3 linked regions of the Lepisosteus oculatus genome follow. The protein of the gene in region 1 interacts with the protein of each later gene in a pairwise test. Links are inferred from orthologs where the notes say so. Each region holds a gene or a part of one and is shown in the gene's direction. Other genes may lie near its edges.

Region 1 (7,062 bases):
TGTGAGCCGTTTGTCACTTTTTGAATCATTGAGTGGACAAGCTGGTGGGAAATCATGAGCTTCATCATAAGAAATGATGAGAAAGGGGTTGAAAGCACAGCAGAAGTTGATCAAAGGAGTCTGTGGACTGCCCCATGACTTGAGAAACACAATCTCATCAACTGCGTCGCGGCACTTGAAATCTGTAGAGTTAATGAAGTCGCTCGCTGTGGAAGCCATTAGTGCAAGTGATGTTGTAGCCTTCAGTGTCTCATGGCTCTCAACAAAGCTTAGCACTGGGAGATATTTAACGAGGACCAGGCGTGTCAGATCAGCTTAACTGGCAGGAATCGAGGTGACAATCTAAGTGTGGAGTGAGGGCAGGTGCACAGTGTGACGTAGTCATGTTCTGGCAGTTTGGAGGTGATAGTTTTCAAAATATGTTTTCAGCATTGTAGTCTGGGCTAATAAGCAAATGTCAAAACTTAAAAAAAAAGTTGAGTGTCCTCATTCTCGTCTGCAAAAAAATGACCTGAACAATACATGCACTATTCAGGCAATATAGAGAATTCATGTGGAAGATTGACCTGACACCCTGTATTCAAATGTCTGCTGTCTCCATCAATGGGCACAGCACAGAGGCTTCGTGAGATGTAAATAAGGGTCTAAACCATGATGTGTGTAAAAATAAGTTAATTTATTTTGAGACCTAATTATTTCCCCAAATGGCCAAGAATGTATGGAAATACTGGTTAAACTCAAAAGGAGTGACATCAAAAACAGCCATTTTTTCATGATTTCTTATGAATCATTAGTGAATGAAGTGCCTCCCGTTCAGCACAGAAATGCAAGGAAAGTGTCCTTTGTGGTTCTTTCTCGATCTGTTACTCAAAGGACAGCAAAGTCATTCCTTATTTTCTTAAAGCGGTGGAAGAGCTCGTTCCCGCCCGCGCTCCGCCCCATGCTGTCAGAGTCGGTGCTTGTGAATGGGAGGGTGAGGAAGAAAGCAAAGCGACCTGTTTGATCCCGGCTATTGACTTGCTGAACCATGTGACTGCGAGGCGTTCGGACTCGAGCTCTCCACGTGATCTCCGCTGCTCATTCGGCAGTCCTGCAGTGCGAGGGTCGTGTTCCTCCCACTCTCTAGCCGGAGGAAGTATTTAAGAAAAGAAGAGCCACACAAACGGCCTTTTCCTGCGATTTGCCGCAACGTGCTGCGGAGAACGGGAAATAAGGCACATCTTAACGTCAAGACACAATTTCAGTTTTATGATGCTTCCTTTGGATGGTTTTTGAAGCATCTGGCATTCAGCTTGTTTGCATTTACAAAGTTTAAGTATCAGCTCTATGGCTGTGCAGTTCGTTGCTCATTTCCCTGAAGTGCCCTTTACACTAGAGTTAATAACAGTCCATTATTTGTACTCAACGAATGTGTTTTTGCGATTACCTTCATTATAGTAGTCTGACTGATACGGTTGTTTTTGTAAGCAGCAGTCTGTGCTGTGCTGTGCTCATTATGTTTGCAGATGCAGGGAAGGTTAAGCCAGTCTGCATAGTTGGTTTTTATGCATCATTTTCTCCAGCCATTAATCAAGGATATTTCATGGTGGCGTCAGGCAAGGTTATTTTTGCAGGATGTTATGGCTACAGAAAACCCCTCAGAGTCCAAATCACCAATAGTTCAGTATGACCTTCTAAATTGCTATAAACCGCGTCGCTCTTTGAAAAGTCTTGGATAATTGAGGCCGGTGGTGAGGTCCGTTGACTAAAAATAGAACGTTATTGAGGTCGCGTCGCACTCGGAGATAACCAGCAGGTGGCGATGTTGCTACTATTCTGACTTCCTAGCAACCCTGTAAATACAATACAACATTACATTCCTCAGACGGCTTGCTCCAACTGCATTTGTTGCTACGATATAATATTAATAAAAACACAAACCTTGAAACAAAGTAAAATCCATTTTTGTGAATGATCTGCTGCTCTTGTATGCACAACAGCCTGTTGTACAGCTGCAATTCACAAAGCGAGCGGATCATACTTAAATTGGGCGGCATACAGTACATTATAAAACAAAAGAGGCTTTGAAATATAACAGTTACTGCCGTTAGTGGCATTTTGTAGTTCATTTGAGCCTGTTTTCCATTTCTGCTTTGCTGTGTCAAACTATAAAAAAATAAGTGTAATGAAAACAACACGAATTGCCTATTTGGTACATTAAGTCATAGCTGTGGGTTTCCTGTGAAGTGTTGTAATTAGCTAAGCTACGGCTTTATGTCTGCAATTACGTAATATTGTCTGTGTGAGTGTGTGTGACATAAGCATCATTTTCCCTAGTTCTCCGTTTCTATAATAGAAAGCTGTTAATTATAAAGCTCCCCTGAAGGGAAGAGCAGAGGCATGCTTGAGGATTTAAAGCAGTAGTTTACACTGTCTTCTGCTCTCAATTAGTGTGTGGCCGTATCTTACAAGATCAGACCTGCTCTTACAGAATCCTCCCTCATGAAGTTGGGAGCCCTGGAGAAGTGCAGTCAGGTCTGCAGTGGCAGCAAGCGGTTGAGTCTCCCGCACCCCTTTAAGACAAACCGTGGTCTTCTCTCCTGGGCCTGTGCCACATGCGAGTCAGCGCCTGTGTGCCTGTGCGCCCAGCGATGAGCCCTGGTCTCCAGCGTTCACAAGCCCCTGTGATTTGGGCTTCCAGTCCGCCCTGTGATGTGGTCTGTGCTGTAGCACTTTAAATCCGCCGTCGAGTGGAGATGTAATTACGGCCTGTGATTTGTTTATTTTTCTTCTTTTTCTTCCTTCAATTAAATGCCAAAATGTGCCCAGAATAGCTCTTCTGTGGAAGAGAAGGGTGTGTGTGAGGCAAGGGGAGGGTTTGGGAAGAGATTAAGAAAGCAGTGATTTCAAAATCTGCTCCTCTTGCTGGTATGTAAATATAAAGAAGTGGCTCAGGTTGCCAGGGAGACACGCTTCCACATGGAAATCTTGTTAGATTCACAAACCTTTGCTTATTTTCTCGTAGCAAGCTTTTCTGCAGTTGAATAGAGGTAGTTTAGCACATCGACAGAGAATTGGAACCTTTACCCGCTGGGAAGGTTACACTGGGAAGGTCATGCACTTCTGCTGCCTGAATGTAAGAGAGTCTACTTTATTGAGTCACATTTGTATCTGTGGCATTTAGTTCAGCCTCTTGTGTGCTTTCAAAGTGCAGTTACCAGGCGTTACAGCAGGGGGCAGCTTTTAGAGAAAGCTACAAAAATCCTCTTGCAGCTTGTAAGATTGTTACAGAGTCCATTGTGTAGCAGGTAAGCTGCTTAGCTACAGTGCTTTCATCTTCTTAGTACATCCCGTCCAGGATGTGTCTGAACTCGTTACGGAGGATTTATGTGGGTAGTGGAAAATCGATTTTACTGCATGGATTTTGATTGATTTGAACATGGGCAGCTGATGGTTCAGACTTGAAAATCCACTTGGAAATCTTGTTTGGTTCACAAACCTTTGTTTATCTTCTCAGACCTTTTTATATTAATATACATTTTACATTTCCTTGGTCCTCAAATCTACCCTGCTGTACTCTAAACTGCAGGATAGTATGTTAAAAAGTTAGCTGGGTCATGAGCAAAGATAGTTATCAATAGCGTTCTGGTCTGAAAATGTAAGGCCATTTGCACCCTCTATCCATTTCTGTGGCTGAGACATAACCATTAGTACCCTAGACATGTTACAAAATTAAAGAAAAAGTCAAATGTTCTGTTGTTGACTAACTTTTAGTTAGACATTTTCAGTTGCTGTAATTCCATTTTACAGTTTAACGGGAGATATAACCGTTTTTATGCAAATCCTGGAAAGACCCATAAATGTCTAAACTGTAACAAAATATTTTTGTGCTAAATTAACAGCCACTACAGTTCTCAAAGCACAAGAGTGTAAGTTTCCCATGCAGGGTCACACACACAATGTCTGCTCACACAATGAATGAGGTCATTCTCCAGGCGGCAACCAATCAGAAGCCTGATCCCTGTCTTCAATGTCTGAATTTGAGACAAGGGAAGCCACAGCAGATTTTTTTGCAAATGCAAATAAATGTGACATCAGTGTCCACTGCCCCATGCCTGCGCTTATCCCTGCAGCAGATGGACAAAGGACTTAGAGGGAAGGACTGTTGGGGATTCGAATGCAGAGTGAGATGATATTTGCCTTGGTGACACCCTCGGGCAGCAGATAGAGAATGAACTGAGGCTTTCTGATGAGCAAGTGAGCAAAGAAACGGCTCTCTGTCGTCACAACATTTTCAAGTATTTTGTGAGGCAGGACAAGTGGACAAACCGGTCGGAGAAACATTTCCCGGGCCGGTTTAGAAAAGGCAACAGGGTGCAAAACAAAAAAACTTATCAGCTGAATAACATACCGAGAAAAAACAACAGGGAGGTACAAAAGCGTGGGGAATATTTTTTTTCAAGTTTTCAAAGAGCACATTTTTTCGAGCACATTTTTTCTTGACGTTTATCTTGCCTTTTTTCATGAGCCATCGCAGCTGGAAATAACACGACTTCAGGTGTGTTATTTCTGCCTCAGACATCAGTGATTATGGTGATACCAGCAGCAGGTTCAATCTGAGAAACATTTTTTTCTTCTGGGTGTGTGTTGCCGTGCACACATCTTATCAGTGGAATACCTTCTTTATGATTGTGTTTACGTGTTGAATCGAAAGCCTGGAGTTACGAGTGCCCTGACCTTAACAAGCTGAAGCGATATGGGCTTAGGAGTGGCGCCCAGGGAGTCGGGACTCTGGACAGACTCATGGCTTTTCTCCAGGGCTGGATCGATGCTGGCAGCTGTTGAACACTGGATCAGTGGAAACACAGGGCCATTAGGAGACAGGATTGGAGCTCCTGTTTGAATCTGGAGTGTTTTGCTGAATATATCATTTCTTGCAATTTGCTTAATGCTTTACACCTAGGAAGGGTCCCAATTCTTTCACCATAAAAATACTTCTCCTTCTTGGGAATGCAAGCTGTCGCCATCCTGTATCAGTGGCCCTACAACACACTTGGGTAACAGGAACACGGGGAGCCGTCCAAACTCCCTTCTGGACCTTCTTGGTTTCCTGCTGGTGCTGAATCTCAGAGCTGTGAGTGAATCCACAGGGACTTGTTGGGTAACTTGCGCTGGCTGTGCAGCCAGATCCTTATTGTATTTGGTGGATCCATGGTGAAGAAATGAGACCAAGAAGTCTGTGATGGTAAAAATCAACATGGTGGTGCTTAAGAAAATCTGTCTTCTGCTTCCATGACTTCTTGAAACGTGAACATCGTTCACTGGGCTAAACACCTCCGAACTGGTTGACTGGACAGATTTTTGCGAGGAAAGTCATTGGTACCTGCATGTTCTTTATTGGGACCACGCTCGGAAGACTTCAGATTCAATCTCTGGACTTCACTGTAAGCAAATTCCCAAATGAAGAATTGTATCTTGGCAAACACAGTATCGCCCATGGGTGTGATATGGGTGCATTTGTTGAAAACACTTTCATTAGATTACTTCCTGCTAATTTGTTTATACTGCTGGGGTTGGAGAGCTTACTGATTAGCCTTTGAGTAAAACATGCAAATCAGGAGGAGGGTATAATTTTCCATAGTTCAGAGACCGAAGATCACAGATATATCGGAGACGATGACTGTTGATCTCAAAATCTGGAAGAAACAGTTTGCTTGAAGACACTCTTAAATTATTGTGAGCCTTTGAAAAAGAAAAAAGCATTTGGATTGATCAGCCTGGAAGAATTTCTGAAGCTGTGAACTCCTCTCATGTAAGATACTGGGTATAGGGAGCAAAACTCTGGACTGAGCTCCAGACCAGTTCTGGGTTTTCTTGGCTGCTGCGTTGGGACCTGCACCCTTTCACTGCGGACACCGTCCTGACAACAGCCTTGCCTTTCGGATTTGGTGACCTAAGAGCTTTCTGCCTGCTTCCCTCCCCAGTAGTATCCAGTAACTGTGATATCGGAGCAGGCAATCTGCCCTGTCTCTTTTTAGGGGTGCAATGTATGTCCTGTGCACTCTGGTGGTGCTGTCTTTGCACAGCCTGTTCAAGGGGCGAAAAAGAGGCTCAGAAGTGGAGAAAGTGAAGCATTCCGACAGGGAGAGAAACTCGCCCAGAGACTGCTGCACGGACAACCACAGCCCAGGATATGAAGCCCAGAGCCTGTGCACCAAGAGTAACAGAACCACTTTGAGCAACATGCCTGGCTGCTGCTACAGTACCTGGGCACAGGTGAGAATCCATCTTGCTTACAGCACAGAATAACCTGGCTACTGTGCAGACTGTACAATATTCATTTTCCTTTCTCTGTCTTTTGGGGGGTATTGGTTACCTCTTCCATCTCTCTGTTTTTGTGCATTTCCCTTTATTGGTCAAACATGTTTTATAGCGTCACAAATTACTTGTAGATTGTTTTTGTATACTCATTTGTTTCAGCGTCTAAGTAAATAAACTACTCGACACGGAAATTCCTATTTATGGAGAAAGAAATGAAAGGTGCACAGTGCTCCATCTGTTTTATGCAGGATTCATTTAAGGGATTATTTGCAAGCGAAGTCATTTTTTAATTAAATGTTGTTGTTGTTTTGTTTCTGGGCAGGTACTGTAGAATGGGCTAAAAAACAAAACCCTTGTTTTTTAAAAAGTACAGGAGGCCTGTTTATTCTACCCTTGAAGGAAAATTAACTTAATGAGTGTAAAATCTGAATTGCAGACAGTAACTTCACACCCTGACATATCTGGGTGTAGTGTCCAGGAGCAAGCAAGAATCTCCGTGCATAATTCTTAAACGTTAGTGCTGGTGCTGTCAGAGTGGGAGTCTGCAGCTCTACTGTTTGCAATCATCTGCAAGTGCATGAGCTTTTTTTGCCTTTGAGGATTTGTTTAGGGTTTGTTTCAGCCTTTGCCAGCTAAATTGAGCTCGAATCCTTTTCAGATGCTGATATGCAAATACAGCTTGTAAATTCACCAAGGGAAAGTTGGGGGTTGACTGTGGGCTAAGGGGCAGTCTCGCAATAGGCAAAATTCTCAAATACTCAA
Region 2 (7,419 bases), on another chromosome or scaffold:
TTATTAAAAGTGTCTCAAGCACTCCTCTCTCGAAATTGCTTTTTAATTACACAGGCGCGAGTGCAGTACTGCTGAGCTAATGACGTAACCTACCTGTCTATCAAGGAGAAAAATAGTTTAACTAAATTGATGAGTTTTAAGGAGAAATTGTCGGGAAATACATGTACACGTAAGAAGAACAAAATATATTTAACAAAGGTTGAAATGCATCATAAAAATGCATAATTGAAAATAATCTTAATGCCAGTCTTGTGCAGAGGGGGTGATTGGTTTGTGACTGGACCGGCCCGATCTCTCGCAGGGCACAGCTGTTGTGAGATACTCTCCCTGTGTGTCTGCGTGTATGCCTGAGTTAGTGTGTCGCTCTGTGTCTGTGAGTCTGTGTCCTTGTGTTTATTTGTCGATCTGTGTGTGTGGGTTTCTTTATTTGGCTGCCCATGTGTGCCGACGGTCACATTCGTGTGTGTTCTGGGTGTGTACTAGTGCATTTGTGTCCCTGGGTGTGTCCAAGTGTGTGTGGATTTTTGTGTCCCCAGAGTTGCTGCTTGTTTGCATGTGTGTCCCTCTGTCTCTCTCTCGGGAGCAGGCAGTGTCTCTGAGCTGCTGTTCTCCTGCACGAGGCTCTGCGCAGCTCGACTGCTCTGGCAGTGTCTCTGAGCTGCTGTTCTCCTGCACGAGGCTCTGCGCAGCTCGACTGCTCTGGCAGTGTCTCTGAGCTGCTGGTCTCCTGCACGAGGTTCTGCGCAGCTGGACTGCACTGACAGTGTGTCGCTGAGCTGCTGTTTTCCTGCACGAGGCTCTGCGCAGCTGGACTGCTCTGACAGTCTCTCTGAGCTGCTGTTCTCCTGCACGAGGCTCTGCGCAGCTGGACTGCTCTTACAGTGTGTCTCTGAGCTGCTGTTCTCCTGCACGAGGCTCTGCGCAGCTGGACTGCTCTGGCAGTGTCTCTCTGAGCTGCTGTTTTCCTGCACGAGGCTCTGCGCAGCTGGACTGCTCTGGCAGTGTGTCTCTGAGCTGCTGTTCTCCTGCACGAGGCTCTGCGCAGCTCGACTGCTCTGGCAGTGTCTCTGAGCTGCTGGTCTCCTGCACGAGGTTCTGCGCAGCTGGACTGCACTGACAGTGTGTCGCTGAGCTGCTGTTCTCCTGCACGAGGCTCTGCGCAGCTGGACTGCTCTGACAGTCTCTCTGAGCTGCTGTTCTCCTGCACGAGGCTCTGCGCAGCTGGACTGCTCTGGCAGTGTGTCTCTGAGCTGCTGTTCTCCTGCACGAGGCTCTGCGCAGCTGGACTGCTCTGGCAGTGTGTCTCTGAGCTGCTGTTCTCCTGCACGAGGCTCTGCGCAGCTGGCCTGCTCTGACAGTCTCTCTCTGAGCTGCCGTTCTCCTGCACGAGGCTCTGCGCAGCTGGACTGCTCTGACAGGGTGTCTCTGAGCTGCTGTTCTCCTGCACGAGGCTCTGCGCAGCTGGACTGCTCTGACAGTGTCTCTGAGCTGCTATTCTCCTGCACGAGGCTCTGCGCAGCTGGACTGCTCTGACAGGGTGTCTCTGAGCTGCTATTCTCCTGCACGAGGCTCTGCGCAGCTGGACTGTTCCAGTGTTGCAGACAGCACTCGATTTGGTTACAAAGTAAACCTGACTGTCCTGATGGGCGTCCTGTTTTATCCTTGGCGTGTGGCTGTGGAGGAGATCAGGCGGCTGTGAAGGGCTCTCCTGCCGCAGGGTCACGCGATGCTGAGGCACCTTCACAAGAAAAGTAAGCTGTCCCCGGTGTGGAGCACAGGCGTGTGGCTGGGGCGTTCTCACCAGGAGCCGGGCACGTCGCTCACTCTGGCGCTCTGCCTGAATTACTCCATGTGTTTGGCACGGGGCCTGTGTCGCGGACAGGAGGACTTGAGCGGATGTGCTCGTCTCTGTCAGTCTCGGGTCAGGCAGGGGGAGGGGTTGAGGGTCCGGTCCGGTCCGGGCTGGGTATGGAGGTGTTGGGGTTCCTCCAGAAGTGCCCCCAGGGCTGGGCTTTCATTGTAATTGTTCATTGTGCTGGTGACAGCGATCCTGTCTGACTGGTTTTGAATCTGTTTGTTGTTGTGTATTGTGGGTTTGGATTTTCCTGTTTGCTTTCTGAAGATCGTGTGCTGTAGTAAAGGAGAACGATGATGTTATGTGGTTAAGAGCTTAGATGATGGAAAACTGTGGCCTGTAAGGAGAGGTCCTGTACGGCCCTGAGCTACCAGTCACAGCACAGGTGAGATGTTCCTGCTTATAGCCTGTGTCCTGGGCACTGTGCCTCCTGTATATTGATCTCCTGTGTGTGTAGAGAGTGGTGCCTGTGTCCTGGGCACTGTGCCTCCTGTATATTGATCTCCTGTGTGTGTAGAGAGTGGTGCCTGTGTCCTGGGCACTGTGCCTCCTGTATATTGATCTCCTGTGTGTGTAGAGAGTGGTGCCTGTGTCCTGGGCACTGTGCCGCCTGTATATTGATCTCCAGTGTGTGTAGAGAGTGGTGCCTGTGTCCTGGGGACTGTGCTGCCTGTATATTGATCTCCTGTGTGTGTAAGGAGTGGTGCCTGTGTCCTGGGGACTGTGCCGCCTGTATATTGATCTCCTGTGTGTGTAAGGAGTGGTGCCTGTGTCCTGGGGACTGTGCCGCCTGTATATTGATCTCCTGTGTGTGTAAGGAGTGGTGCCTGTGTCCTGGGCACTGTGCTTCCTGTATATTGATCTCCAGTGTGTGTAGAGAGTGGTGCCTGTGTCCTGGGCACTGTGCCGCCTGTATATTGATCTCCTGTGTGTGTAAGGAGTGGTGCCTGTGTCCTGGGCACTGTGCCGCCTGTATATTGATCTCCTGTGTGTGTAAGGAGTGGTGCCTGTGTCCTGGGCACTGTGCCGCCTGTATATTGATCTCCAGTGTGTGTAGAGAGTGGTGCCTGTGTCCTGGGCACTGTGCCGCCTGTCTATTGATCTCCAGTGTGTGTAGAGAGTGGTGCCTGTGTCCTGGGCACTGTGCCGCCTGTCTATTGATCTCCTGTGTGTGTAGAGAGTGGTGCCTGTGTCCTGGGCACTGTGCCGCCTGTATATTGATCTCCAGTGTGTGTAGAGAGTGGTGCCTGTGTCCTGGGGACTGTGCTGCCTGTATATTGATCTCCTGTGTGTGTAAGGAGTGGTGCCTGTGTCCTGGGGACTGTGCCGCCTGTATATTGATCTCCTGTGTGTGTAAGGAGTGGTGCCTGTGTCCTGGGGACTGTGCCGCCTGTATATTGATCTCCTGTGTGTGTAAGGAGTGGTGCCTGTGTCCTGGGCACTGTGCTTCCTGTATATTGATCTCCAGTGTGTGTAGAGAGTGGTGCCTGTGTCCTGGGCACTGTGCCGCCTGTATATTGATCTCCTGTGTGTGTAAGGAGTGGTGCCTGTGTCCTGGGCACTGTGCCGCCTGTATATTGATCTCCTGTGTGTGTAAGGAGTGGTGCCTGTGTCCTGGGCACTGTGCCGCCTGTATATTGATCTCCAGTGTGTGTAGAGAGTGGTGCCTGTGTCCTGGGCACTGTGCCGCCTGTCTATTGATCTCCAGTGTGTGTAGAGAGTGGTGCCTGTGTCCTGGGCACTGTGCCGCCTGTCTATTGATCTCCTGTGTGTGTAGAGAGTGGTGCCTGTGTCCTGGGCACTGTGCCGCCTGTCTATTGATCTCCTGTGTGTGTAGAGAGTGGTGCCTGTGTCCTGGGCACTGTGCCGCCTGTCTATTGATCTCCTGTGTGTGTAAGGAGTGGTGCCTGTGTCCTGGGCACTGTGCCGCCTGTATATTGATCTCCAGTGTGTGTAGAGAGTGGTGCCTGTGTCCTGGGCACTGTGCCGCCTGTATATTGATCTCCTGTGTGTGTGTAGAGAGTGGTGCCTGTGTCCTGGGCACTGTGCCTCCTGTATATCGATCTCCTGTGTGTGTAAGGAGTGGTGCCTGTGTCCTGGGCACTGTGCTGCCTGTATATTGATCTCCTGTGTGTGTAGAGAGTGGTGCCTGTGTCCTGGGCACTGTGCCTCCTGTATATCGATCTCCTGTGTGTGTAAGGAGTGGTGCCTGTGTCCTGGGCACTGTGCCTCCTGTATATCGATCTCCTGTGTGTGTAAGGAGTGGTGCCTGTGTCCGGGGCACTGTGCCGCCTGTATATTGATCTCCAGTGTGTGTAGAGAGTGGTGCCTGTGTCCTGGGCACTGTGCCGCCTGTATATTGATCTCCAGTGTGTGTAGAGAGTGGTGCCTGTGTCCTGGGCACTGTGCCGCCTGTCTATTGATCTCCAGTGTGTGTGGAGAGTGGTGCCTGTGTCCTGGGCACTGTAAAATGAGTGTATTTTTAGCTCGGCTCACATGCCTGACCTTTTGCTAGAGATGGCAGGAGCTAGTGTCTTGCACACTACAGTCCGGACACTGCCCCCCCTGTACGAGCAGCGAGCGTGCCCCCCGCCTCAGGGGCTCAGTGCCAGTGCTCTGCGTCTGTGGCCAGGCCTGTGCGTGTGCTGTGGTGCACAGACGTGTAGATTGACAGGAGAATGTGACGAGGGAGTGGGACGGCCGGCGCAGGCTGCCTGAGCTGTAAATAGCCAGCCCGCTGGCTGGGGATCACAGTGGAGCAGGAGAGAGAGGAGGTGCTGTCCCGTTTTCCGCCTCTCCCTGTTCTGGTCACTTGGCATGGGGGACCCAGCGGCCACTCCTGAACTCTCCCCGGGCGACGGTGACCGTGAGTGAGACTCCCGCTTGTCTCTGCCTGTGTCTGTTGCCCCTCACCCTGCCTCCTCCCCCTGTCCTCTCTCTGACCCGCTCGTCCTGCCCGGTGCTGTTGTCTGCTCTCTGCTGCCGGGACGCTCTCTTCTCTGGGCGGTGCTTTACCCGTGTCATTGTGGGATAGCTGTCGGCGCCTCGCTGTGGTGTTGCTCCCGGGGCAGCCTGGCAGAGGTGTGTGTCGAGCCCTGCTCGTGTCAGACGGAGACCAAGGCCTCCTGAGGCTCCCGAAGTTCCCCACAGTGCTCTGGGGGATCCGGGGTGCTGGGAGGTGCCCAGATTGGTCTGCTCACAAAACCCCGTTTCGCCTGGTGGCTGGCCTTGCCCCGCCAGGTAAATAAGCACTGTGCGGTTATTGCGCTGAGGGGGGCCCGACTCTGGGGGCGCTCTGCCCGTCTTAAGCCCTGAGCGTCCTGCCCTGCCGGTCGCGGGCCGGTGACTGTAATATATTCAATTCAATTCAAGGTGCTTTATTAGCATGACCAATGGGTACAATCAGTGTTGCCAAAGCAAATAAAATAAAATTAACATGGAACAAGACAAAAAATAGAAGTAAAATAAAATATATCTGCGTCTGTGGAGTGTGTGTGCTGCAGGATTTGTGTATCTTTGTGCTGGTCTCTGACAGTGAAGTGCTTTACGATGGGGGCTGTCCTCCCCCCCCCTCCTCCTCCTCTCTCTCGTCCTTCTCCTGCACCCTCCCCTCTCGCAGGCCAGGTGACCGCGCAGCTGTTCGCAGACTGTGGAAGAACAGGAGGAGCGGCGGGACTCTGGGATCAAGACAGCTCTGTCTGCTGATCCGTCAGCTAATATTGACATAACCGGAACGATAGAGAAGCGGAGCCCTGTGTTAAACTTCCTCTCCCTCGCTCTCTCATTCCTTCTCTCGGGCTCAGAGAGCTGTACTGGCATGACCTGGACTGTGTTCCCCCCGGTCGTCCCCTCCTGGCGTGGGGCCCCGAGCGTCCCGCCGGTCGCTCTGCGAGGACTCCAGTTTGTCCTGCTTCGTGTGCTGCAGGAACAGGGCGCATCCCTCCTGAGTGAGGGGGCCGGGACTGCTGCTGCTGCTGCCCGGGAGCCCTGTCATGATCACGTCGCTCTCATGTCAAGAGGGGAGCTGCCCTGCCCTGGCCTGGCCTGGCCTGCTGGCACTGCCTCGGAGTTGTGGGAAGCGCAGGGCTCAAGGCTGGGTGTTGTGTCAGGGGTCCCGTGTTGAGTTAGGGGTGATGTTGTCCAGTGACTGCGAGCCACGCTGGTGTTCGCTTTGAGATGGGAGGTGCGCCCCCTGCTGTTGGCGTGTGGAGTATGGATGTCAGGAGCCCCGTTGCACCCCAAGATTTAAACCATCGCTCGCGTTACGATGTTTATATTGTTACAAAACTGGTGAAAATCAGGAATTGACCGAGCGGTGAAATAATTATTTATAATCCCCGACTTGTAAGTGATTTCTGTATGCGAGCGGCCGGTACAACCAGAGGCACGTGAATTCTTCCATCTCTGACACAGCTTTGTCGAGGAGTAATAATCCAGAGACACTTGGTTTAAACAAATATTTATTGCAATAACCTACACGAGACACAAAACATACAACACGCCAAGTTACATTCTATTGTTACGGGTGGGGCTGGACAGATATTTTCAAACAATGACACAACACACAACAGAACATGTTGCTTTAAACACATTCTTTACAGACAAGGCGTTTCAGAGGCCAAACATTCTGGTCACCCAGAAAACCCCAGACCGCTACTAAGCACTAAGCACCTGTCGAGGCCACACAAGAGATGAGCTGCCTTCTAACTAAATACAGAGCAACCTGCGGTTAAACCTATCTCTCTCTGTGGATGCCCCAAAATAAATAGGAGCCTATATCCATATCCATAAAATGCCCCCTTATCAGGAAAGATGTTTCTAACTGAGGTATCTTTTACCCAGGAAACCCAAGTTCCCTAAAAAATACAGAATAGCACGTTCTAACAGGGTTCAAATACTTCGCTCCAGTCAGGTTTGATTTGGATGATCATGAAGTAGGGGCTCTCGCCTGGCGCAAGCCTCAAGTTCCAGCTCCTCTCTCTTCTCTCTGCTCCCCTTGTTTCTCCTCTTCCCCCTGTTCTTCTCTCTCCTCCTGTGCTCTTAAGGTGAACAGATACTGTGTCTTTCTGCCCTGCTCCTTTGCGATCATTAATCCACAACTTGCCTAGGAATACCAAGATCACCTTTACTATTGTTTCTGCTCAAGGGACCCCCAGTCGTCGGCAAACATCCTCTCTCCTTTGGAGTTAGATGTGTTTACTCTTCCCAATGTCTAAAACCTTATCTAAAATCTGAGAGAGACTTCTCAAGTCACCCAAAGCTGTAACGGTATATAACCTGTCTGAGCGTCCCAGTGCGTCTGTGTGTCCCCCAGTGTGGTTCAGTGAGTCCCCAGTGGGATAGTGTATACCCCAACGTGTCCCAGTGTCCCCCCCCAGTGGGTACAGTGTCCTCAAGTGAGGTTCAGTGTCCCCGTGTCCCTCTCAGGTGCTGTGAGGAAGATGACAAGGGAAGATGTCCGGGATCCGTCGTCGGAGGGAGACTCTGCCCTGGACAGACTCAGCAGCTCGCCCCCTGGCACAGACAGGCCCACTGTTCACCAGGTGGCATCCGCACCCATGCCC
Region 3 (6,849 bases), on another chromosome or scaffold:
ATGGCGAAGTTGTTGCAGAACGCCACCATGAAGACCTGGAAGAAGTTCATGGTCACGAAGAGCTGGAAGTCCCTCTGGTTCAGGATCTGCCAGGTCAGGGAGCAGACCGAGGCCAGGGACAGGGCGGCGCCCCCCGGAGGCTGCTCCTCCGCTTGGCCCCCCCGCCCCGCGTAGCGGCTCTCGCTGTGGAGGCCCGTGTAGAGCATGCAGCCGCACGCCAGCGCCGCGGCTGCGACGGTGAAGGCCTGGAACGCAGGGAAGTTATCCATGTTCCCAGACATCAGCCCACAGAACAGCACGCTGGAGGAGCCCAGCAGGGACGCCACCTGGTTGTACTTGATGAGCTTCAGCCTGCTCTCGTGCTGGACAGATATTTCGGCAAAGAGGGCGCACTGGGCCAGGAGCACGAAGGTCAGCATGCCGTCAAAGGCACACAGCGCCACGATCAGGTGCACACCGCTCAGCCAGTCCCCCGCCGCGTAGGGGCGCCACGGGAACCAGGCCAGCAGGAAGGCCAGGGCGTAGAAGGGCGCCCCATACAGGACGGCCAGCCGGCGGCGGGAGCAGCAGGGCATCCCGGAGTTGTCCTGGACGTAACCGAACAGGGGGTCGTTCACGGCGTTCCAGACCATGTAGATCACCTGCAGCAGAGCGCACGGGACGAGGAAGGGACACTTCAAGCTGCGCGCAGGAGGAGAGTCAGTCACTACATTACTCACACTCAGACCAACGAGATGGGCCAGACCATCCCCTCTCAGTTCCCTCGCCCTCTTCAGAAAACACAGCAGAATCCACAATAACTATGAGCCTTCATCTAGTGATAATAATAACAATAAACTTTATACTGTATAGCACCTTTAAAAGTGGCTTCTCAATGTGCAGAATTACACAACTGCACTAAGGGTTTGGAATACAGCAGGGAAGCAAAGGGGCAGACAGAGAGCCAGTTCAATAAAAGCCCTTCTGAAGAAGGCTTTGAGTCTTGATCTGAGTGTTCAGGGAAGGTGACTCTCGGATGTCCTTTGGGACAGATTTCCAGAGCTTTGGGATGCAGCAGGAGAAGGCCCTGTCACCCAAAGAGGGTAGATGGGCTGATGGGACGAACAGCAGACCGGAATTAGACAGTATGAGCTGTGATGTGATTTTTATTAAGAAATGTTACGCTGGGGAAAGGTGGTACACAGGCGGCTAAATCCTGCAGCTCTTACTCGAATGGGGTGGGTCTTCATCATGCGCGTTTGGAGACGCGCACTGAGAAAAAAGAGCGGACTGTTCTGGAACAGGAGACTGGGCAGACTGGCACGCCGTGCTCTTTATTTTCTCAAAAGCGCACTCTGTTTCCTGAGGCAGAGGAACAAGTTTAAGTTCTGCCCTGGCTTGTTAATTAACCTAAAGGTGCCTTGTGTTCCTTCTCTGCTGCCCTGGATACAGCACACAATGAAATCCTCTCAGCACTCACTGAAAAAGCGCAGGAGCTATTTTAAGGACGCCAACAGCTAAGGACCTACATAGCACAACACTGAACTAACCTAATCACCTTTGATGTCATGTTTCTAATCCATGGGAGGCCGATTCTCTGCTGTCGTGAGGCACAAAACACCCACCATGCCAGTAAGACTCATGGGGACGAGTCTCAGGAGGAGGAGAGTTACATGAATAAGGGTATCTGTAGCATCTCGCACTTCCTCAGTGGGGAGAGTACGGACAGACCTCTGTGTCTAGGGAATACACAAACCTGACACCACAGGGATCTGATCAGCTGCTCCCGAAGGCCACAAGCAGGATGTTCAGAGAGACACAGACAAACAGACAAACAATCAGAAGGAATGCTAAAGGAGGAAACAGCCCAGGAAGACATAAGGAGTTGCATGAATTCATAACTTTCAATCTCTGTGTTCTCTCTTTCCTTGTTCAGAACCCCCAGGCACAAATTCCCATGGTATAATTAACCTATAGGTTCAGACTGTTCAACTACAGAGTGTTTTTTTTTAAAACCAAAACTTCCATATTATACTACTATAAACATATATAGTTCCATTTTTCCAAATCCTGTTTAGTTGTAGTAGTTTTTTCCTAAACCCTTTAGTTGTAGTAAACGGAGATGGTCACAGAGATGTTTCATCTCCTTCAAGCAGGTGCCTCGTCGCTCGGACTGGCAGGGCATTTACCTTCCACCCCTTATGTCCTGCAGGGACTTGAAGATCCCGCCAGCAGAAAACATCTATAAACTCTGAATCGGGGCTTTGAAGAGCAGGGGCAGTGACCTCACACTGCAGACTCAGAGTTCATCTCCCCACCAGCCAGGTGACAATGCTAGCCTACAGTACAGCATATGTGAGTACTGATTTTTTCATGCAAGAAGACAACTCGAGGTCAGCGAGGGCTAAAGGGCTACAGCACGCTACCCTGCTCTGGGGGTGCGACTTGCGTGGAAAAGCCCCGTGGGTCAGCACTCGCCTGCGCCTGGTGAAACGCCGACTCCGAGATCTGGAACTTGTCCAGGAACAGCTTGACGTAGTAGAAGCTGAAGATGCTGTTCATCATGCCGGCGCCCAGCGTGGTCATGGAGTAGGCCAGCGCGCCCGGGTGGACCCCGAGTCTCGCCAGGAGCCGCATACCGGCCGCCCTTCCGCCCCCGCGAGAGCCCTGAGCGGGGTTCCCCGGAGCGGCGCGCGCCCTGGCGCGGGTGCTCATCCACGCGTGACGCCTTCCCGCACGCCGGACCGTGAGCTATCGAGGGCTAGCGCGGCTAATAACAGACAAACAATGAATTAATACGGGGGTATTTAAGTGCGATCTCATAATACAGCTAACGAAACAGGGAAAGAGTGATAGGGTTTTAGTTAAGCACAACCAGTCATTAAGTTCAAGGAACAGGATTCCCGAAACAAGTCAGGCTGGTTTGTGGGCATTGCAGGAATTGTCAGTTTTGCCATTAAAGCCAGGCTGACAACACAACATGCTGTGCCCCAGAAGCTGTGAAATGAGCTGTATAAAACTGAAAGATCCGGCACTCCTACTCTTAAGAATATACTATCATGCACAATATAAAAACCCCATTGCATTCACCTCATTGAGAGGTGCGAATCACGGTAAACACCACAGTAAATTATTGTCACTGTACTCCCTCGGCTACATATAAACAGATTTTCCCTGGGCTGTGGTTTGTCAGTGTATTTTTCTCTAACATATATAACAAATATATATTTCTCTAACATAAACGAGGTTTAAAAGCATTTTACAAACCAACAAACACTAGCAGTAAACAGTAACTGGCACTTTGAAACCCCGCCCCTCTTGTCAATCGATTCCTTTGATACATTTCTGCGTTTTTATGACAAATATTTAAGAAAAAAACCACAATTTCTGAAACCGAGCTTCCTTTGCGTCGACGGTTATAACTCATTAGTTGTGAAAAGACACAAAACAACTACAACGGAAGTTCTTCACAAAAAGACTTTCAAACCACTGCTATTGTTTTCAGAAAAAAAACATGCAGTTTCATGGGTCGTAAAGTCTAAGGTTCTAGCAATGGCGACTCCTGCAGTGGCTCTCTTGCGCACACTCCTATTTTCTCCTCTTTGATCAAAGGTTAATTAAAAATGAATGAGTTAAAACTGAACCTACGATTTCTCGATATCCTCGCAGCCAGCTCAGCTGTGTGCGCGCGCGGAGCCCGCGTATCGCGGAAGTGGGCGGGGCACCCCCCACCACCTGAGACCCTCCCCCTGCCTGCGGTGATTGGACGCTGCCCGGCGTTCCGGACCCGCCTCCCCGGCGTTTCAATGCGCCCCCTCCAAGCGATCAAGTGACGTCGGCTCCCATTGACACGCCCGCTCCTGACGTCGCCGCGGCGCAGGGGTTGGGTGCCACGTTGCTGCAGCCCGTGCGAGCCGCTGGAGGCTCCAGAGCGTCGCGAGCTCAGTCGCCGGCGAGCGTGCTGGTGTGTGTGTGTGTGTTGCACCCAGGAGCAGGAGCTGCCCGCTCTTCCGAGACAGAGGAAAAAAGGACGGGACAGAACTGCCCAGCGGAGGACAAGAGTCCCCAGAGTCGTCGTCCTCCCCACCCCGGCCGCGAACATGCTGACCGATATGATGGTGGAGGAAGAGTTCGAGATCAAGGAGGAGGAGCCGTGGTATGACCACCGGGACCTGGAGCACGGTAGGGCTGGGGCATTTAAACTCCTCTTCAGTGGTGCTGAAGAGAGCCGAGCCAGGTAGCGGCGCCGGGGCTCACCCATCGCCCGGGGCTGTGCGCTCAGCGGGCAGCGGGGGAGATGCGTCCCAGAAACAAGCCTCTAAGGGCGACGTGCGCGTTTCTGTTGTATGATTAGTGTCGCCTGTCAAAACGTTGGTTTACAACCGAGCCGCCCATTTGAAAGCGAGTCCCCATCCCCAAAAAATCTCATGCAGCGTCTACATTGTTTCGTAAAACTGTCCTCACGTTTTTGTTTTGCGTTCCCGGGGATGCATTTCCCTTGTAAGAAATGAACACTGATTTTTAGTTACAGATCGATGTAAAAGAAGATGTTAAAAGCAAGTATATATATACATGTCATGCTTGCTTTAACCTAACGCGGTTAAACCGCAGTGCTGCGGACGGTCGGGGGTTTAAAAACTCCACGACAGTGTTGTGTTTTAGCAGTAATGTTCTGCTATTTTTTTCCGACCCGGCGTGAAAATGTTCGTTGCCGGGGGTGTGATTTAGAATTGAATGTGAATTGCAGCATAATCTGGGAAACGCTGAGTCGCGTCGGCGGATCTCGCACAAAGCCCTTTTTGTCGATAAATTCGGCCACATTCGCAAGCCGCTCGTCTCCCGTGAGAAGTGGGAGCTGTTCGCCTGGTCACTTCTTCCCCGCAGCTACTGCAGCTCAGAGAGGAAGCAGCCTTATCTGACTCCTTTGTCATCGCGATTTCAACAGCAGCAAAGCCAAGCTAGACTGGACCGCCCAAGTGCTCGAAAAAGCAATGACATGCTCGGAAGGCATTAATAGGAGCATGCACTGAGCTGCCGAGAGCAGTGACTTCTTCCTTGCACGTTGTTTTTGTAAGGAAGGATGTCGTTGACTAGCCGCGAGAAATGGTCAGAGCTCTTCAAAATATAACCGAGTTTAAGGCTTTTCGATGAACAGAAATTCACCGCAAACACAAGTGTTGCATCGATGTGTCGCTCGGCTCCCAGTTGAGATAGCTGCGGTTTCCCTGTGAATTTGCGCTCGCATTTCCTGGATCAAGAAATTAACCCATTGGAAACAAGGCAGCTTTCTGACGCAGATGCAGCTTTTAGCATCCCCCGAGATAAGAATGTTTACGACCAATGTGCACCCATTTAATGAACTAATTTATAACCTCACGACATGCAAAAATAATTGAGGATATATTTCTCTGTGCTCCCCCTGACCTGCTGTGCGGTGAGGGTGCTGTGTGCTGCACCTCACGAGCAGCGAAGTGGGTCCCCTCCTGTATACAAAGCGCTCGGGGATCCTTTGAAGAGCACTATACAAGTGCAAGGAAATATTATAGATTCGTGACCTTCTCTTTACGTTACAGTTACTTGGGCAGCACAGTTCTGGGTTCTTGACATGTTCGGCTTCAAACGTCTCACTGTGTTTCCAAGTTATTTTGCTGGGAGGTAATGAAATCGGTGTTTTTGTGCTGTAGGCTGTAATCATTTGCAGTGTTGGGTTTTTTTAACGCAAGGAGAAGCTGCTCTCTCACCTTTTCCAGTTTAGGGTGTAAAACAGTATCGAACTGCAAGTCACTTCCAGACCACTAAAAACCTCAGCAACAATTCTGTTTGCCACTTCATCTCAATACATTCACTTTTGTCTGCCTGATACTAGTTCCGTCAGACTTCAGAAGACCTGGGCTAACCATTGTTGCTCACTTTATGCTTCCACATTCAATAAGTAGAAATGTGGCTTTGTCTCTAAAATGCCTCACAGATATTGTTTGCACCTCTGGGATTCTGACTCGAGAAGTAAATTGTAGAGGGTGAATTTCCGAGTGCGTTTCTCCTGAGTGTCAATGGTGGATGCTCAAGGCAAAGGCGATCAGACGGTTGAGTTTTCGAGCCTCAGGCAGACCCCTGTGTGTGAGCCAGCGCCACTTAAACGAGGCTCTTTGTGAAACGATGAGCTGGCAGAAAACGGATTGCAGGTCCTGAGCAATGCAAGATATTGCACCTCTACTTAGGAAGATGGGCAAACTAGACACAGGCCAGTTTCCCTCTCAACACTGTGTAACTGCAAAACCGCATTTCTTAATTGTCAGGTCTGGCTGGCTCTGTAGCGACCCTACTGGACTAACACCCCAAGATGATTTAACTACCAAAAATAAAAAAGTAAGACACAACCTAGAATTAAAGAGAGAGACCATAAATAGGCATTATAGACGTCAGCTACTACTTAGTTGTAAGACGGAGAGTACCCTGCTTTCACACTCTGGAGGTATATTTCTCCACACCTTATGAATACAACACCCAGTGGAAAAAGAACTTGAGGTCACTTAAATGGACAATGCAAACGAAGTGTGGACAGGTTCCCTAGCTATGACACTTATTTTAAATATAGATTTTTCTCCATTTGCAATGTAACAGGCGCTGTGTGCCGCCGGCACAGATAGTCTGCAGAAATCAGAATTGCAGGATTTGCTTCATGTATCTAATAACCTTTTGCACAGAGAAAGTGCAGGTTTATACTGCTGCAGGTCATGAATCCCAAAGCAGATGAGCAGTGAGAAGGGTTTTCAAGGCGTAAGGAAACGCAGGCAGGAAAGGACATGTTCACAAGGAAGGAATCTGCCATCTGTGATACGAGCCCCCAGAACCCCCAGCCTTAGTGTTTCA

The links. The genes of interacting proteins can lie anywhere in the genome.
Region 2: the proteins of kifc3 (region 1) and CAP-Gly domain-containing linker protein 4 interact in binary tests that used the Homo sapiens proteins (3 or more experiments, as listed by UniProt). The two-hybrid records come from large-scale screens. The link is inferred for Lepisosteus oculatus from reciprocal best matches to the Homo sapiens genes KIFC3 and CLIP4.
Region 3: the proteins of kifc3 (region 1) and cerebellar degeneration-related protein 2 interact in binary tests that used the Homo sapiens proteins (3 or more experiments, as listed by UniProt). The two-hybrid records come from large-scale screens. The link is inferred for Lepisosteus oculatus from reciprocal best matches to the Homo sapiens genes KIFC3 and CDR2.

Annotation. Positions count from the first base shown.
Region 1 is NC_090715.1:4,618,867-4,625,928, reverse strand, and holds the start of kifc3 (kinesin-like protein KIFC3), read left to right. Parts: upstream 1-4,052; 5' UTR 4,053-6,024; coding exon 6,025-6,255; intron 6,256-7,062. UniProt on the Homo sapiens protein: Minus-end microtubule-dependent motor protein. Involved in apically targeted transport. Required for zonula adherens maintenance.
Region 2 is NC_090697.1:29,363,855-29,371,273, reverse strand, and holds the start of CAP-Gly domain-containing linker protein 4, read left to right. Parts: upstream 1-4,398; 5' UTR 4,399-4,672; coding exon 4,673-4,721; intron 4,722-7,282; coding exon 7,283-7,419.
Region 3 is NC_090714.1:16,649,069-16,655,917, reverse strand, and holds the start of cerebellar degeneration-related protein 2, read left to right. Parts: upstream 1-3,828; 5' UTR 3,829-4,079; coding exon 4,080-4,161; intron 4,162-6,849. Other genes in the region: mfsd13al (transmembrane protein 180-like), read right to left, coding at 1-641, 2,458-2,694.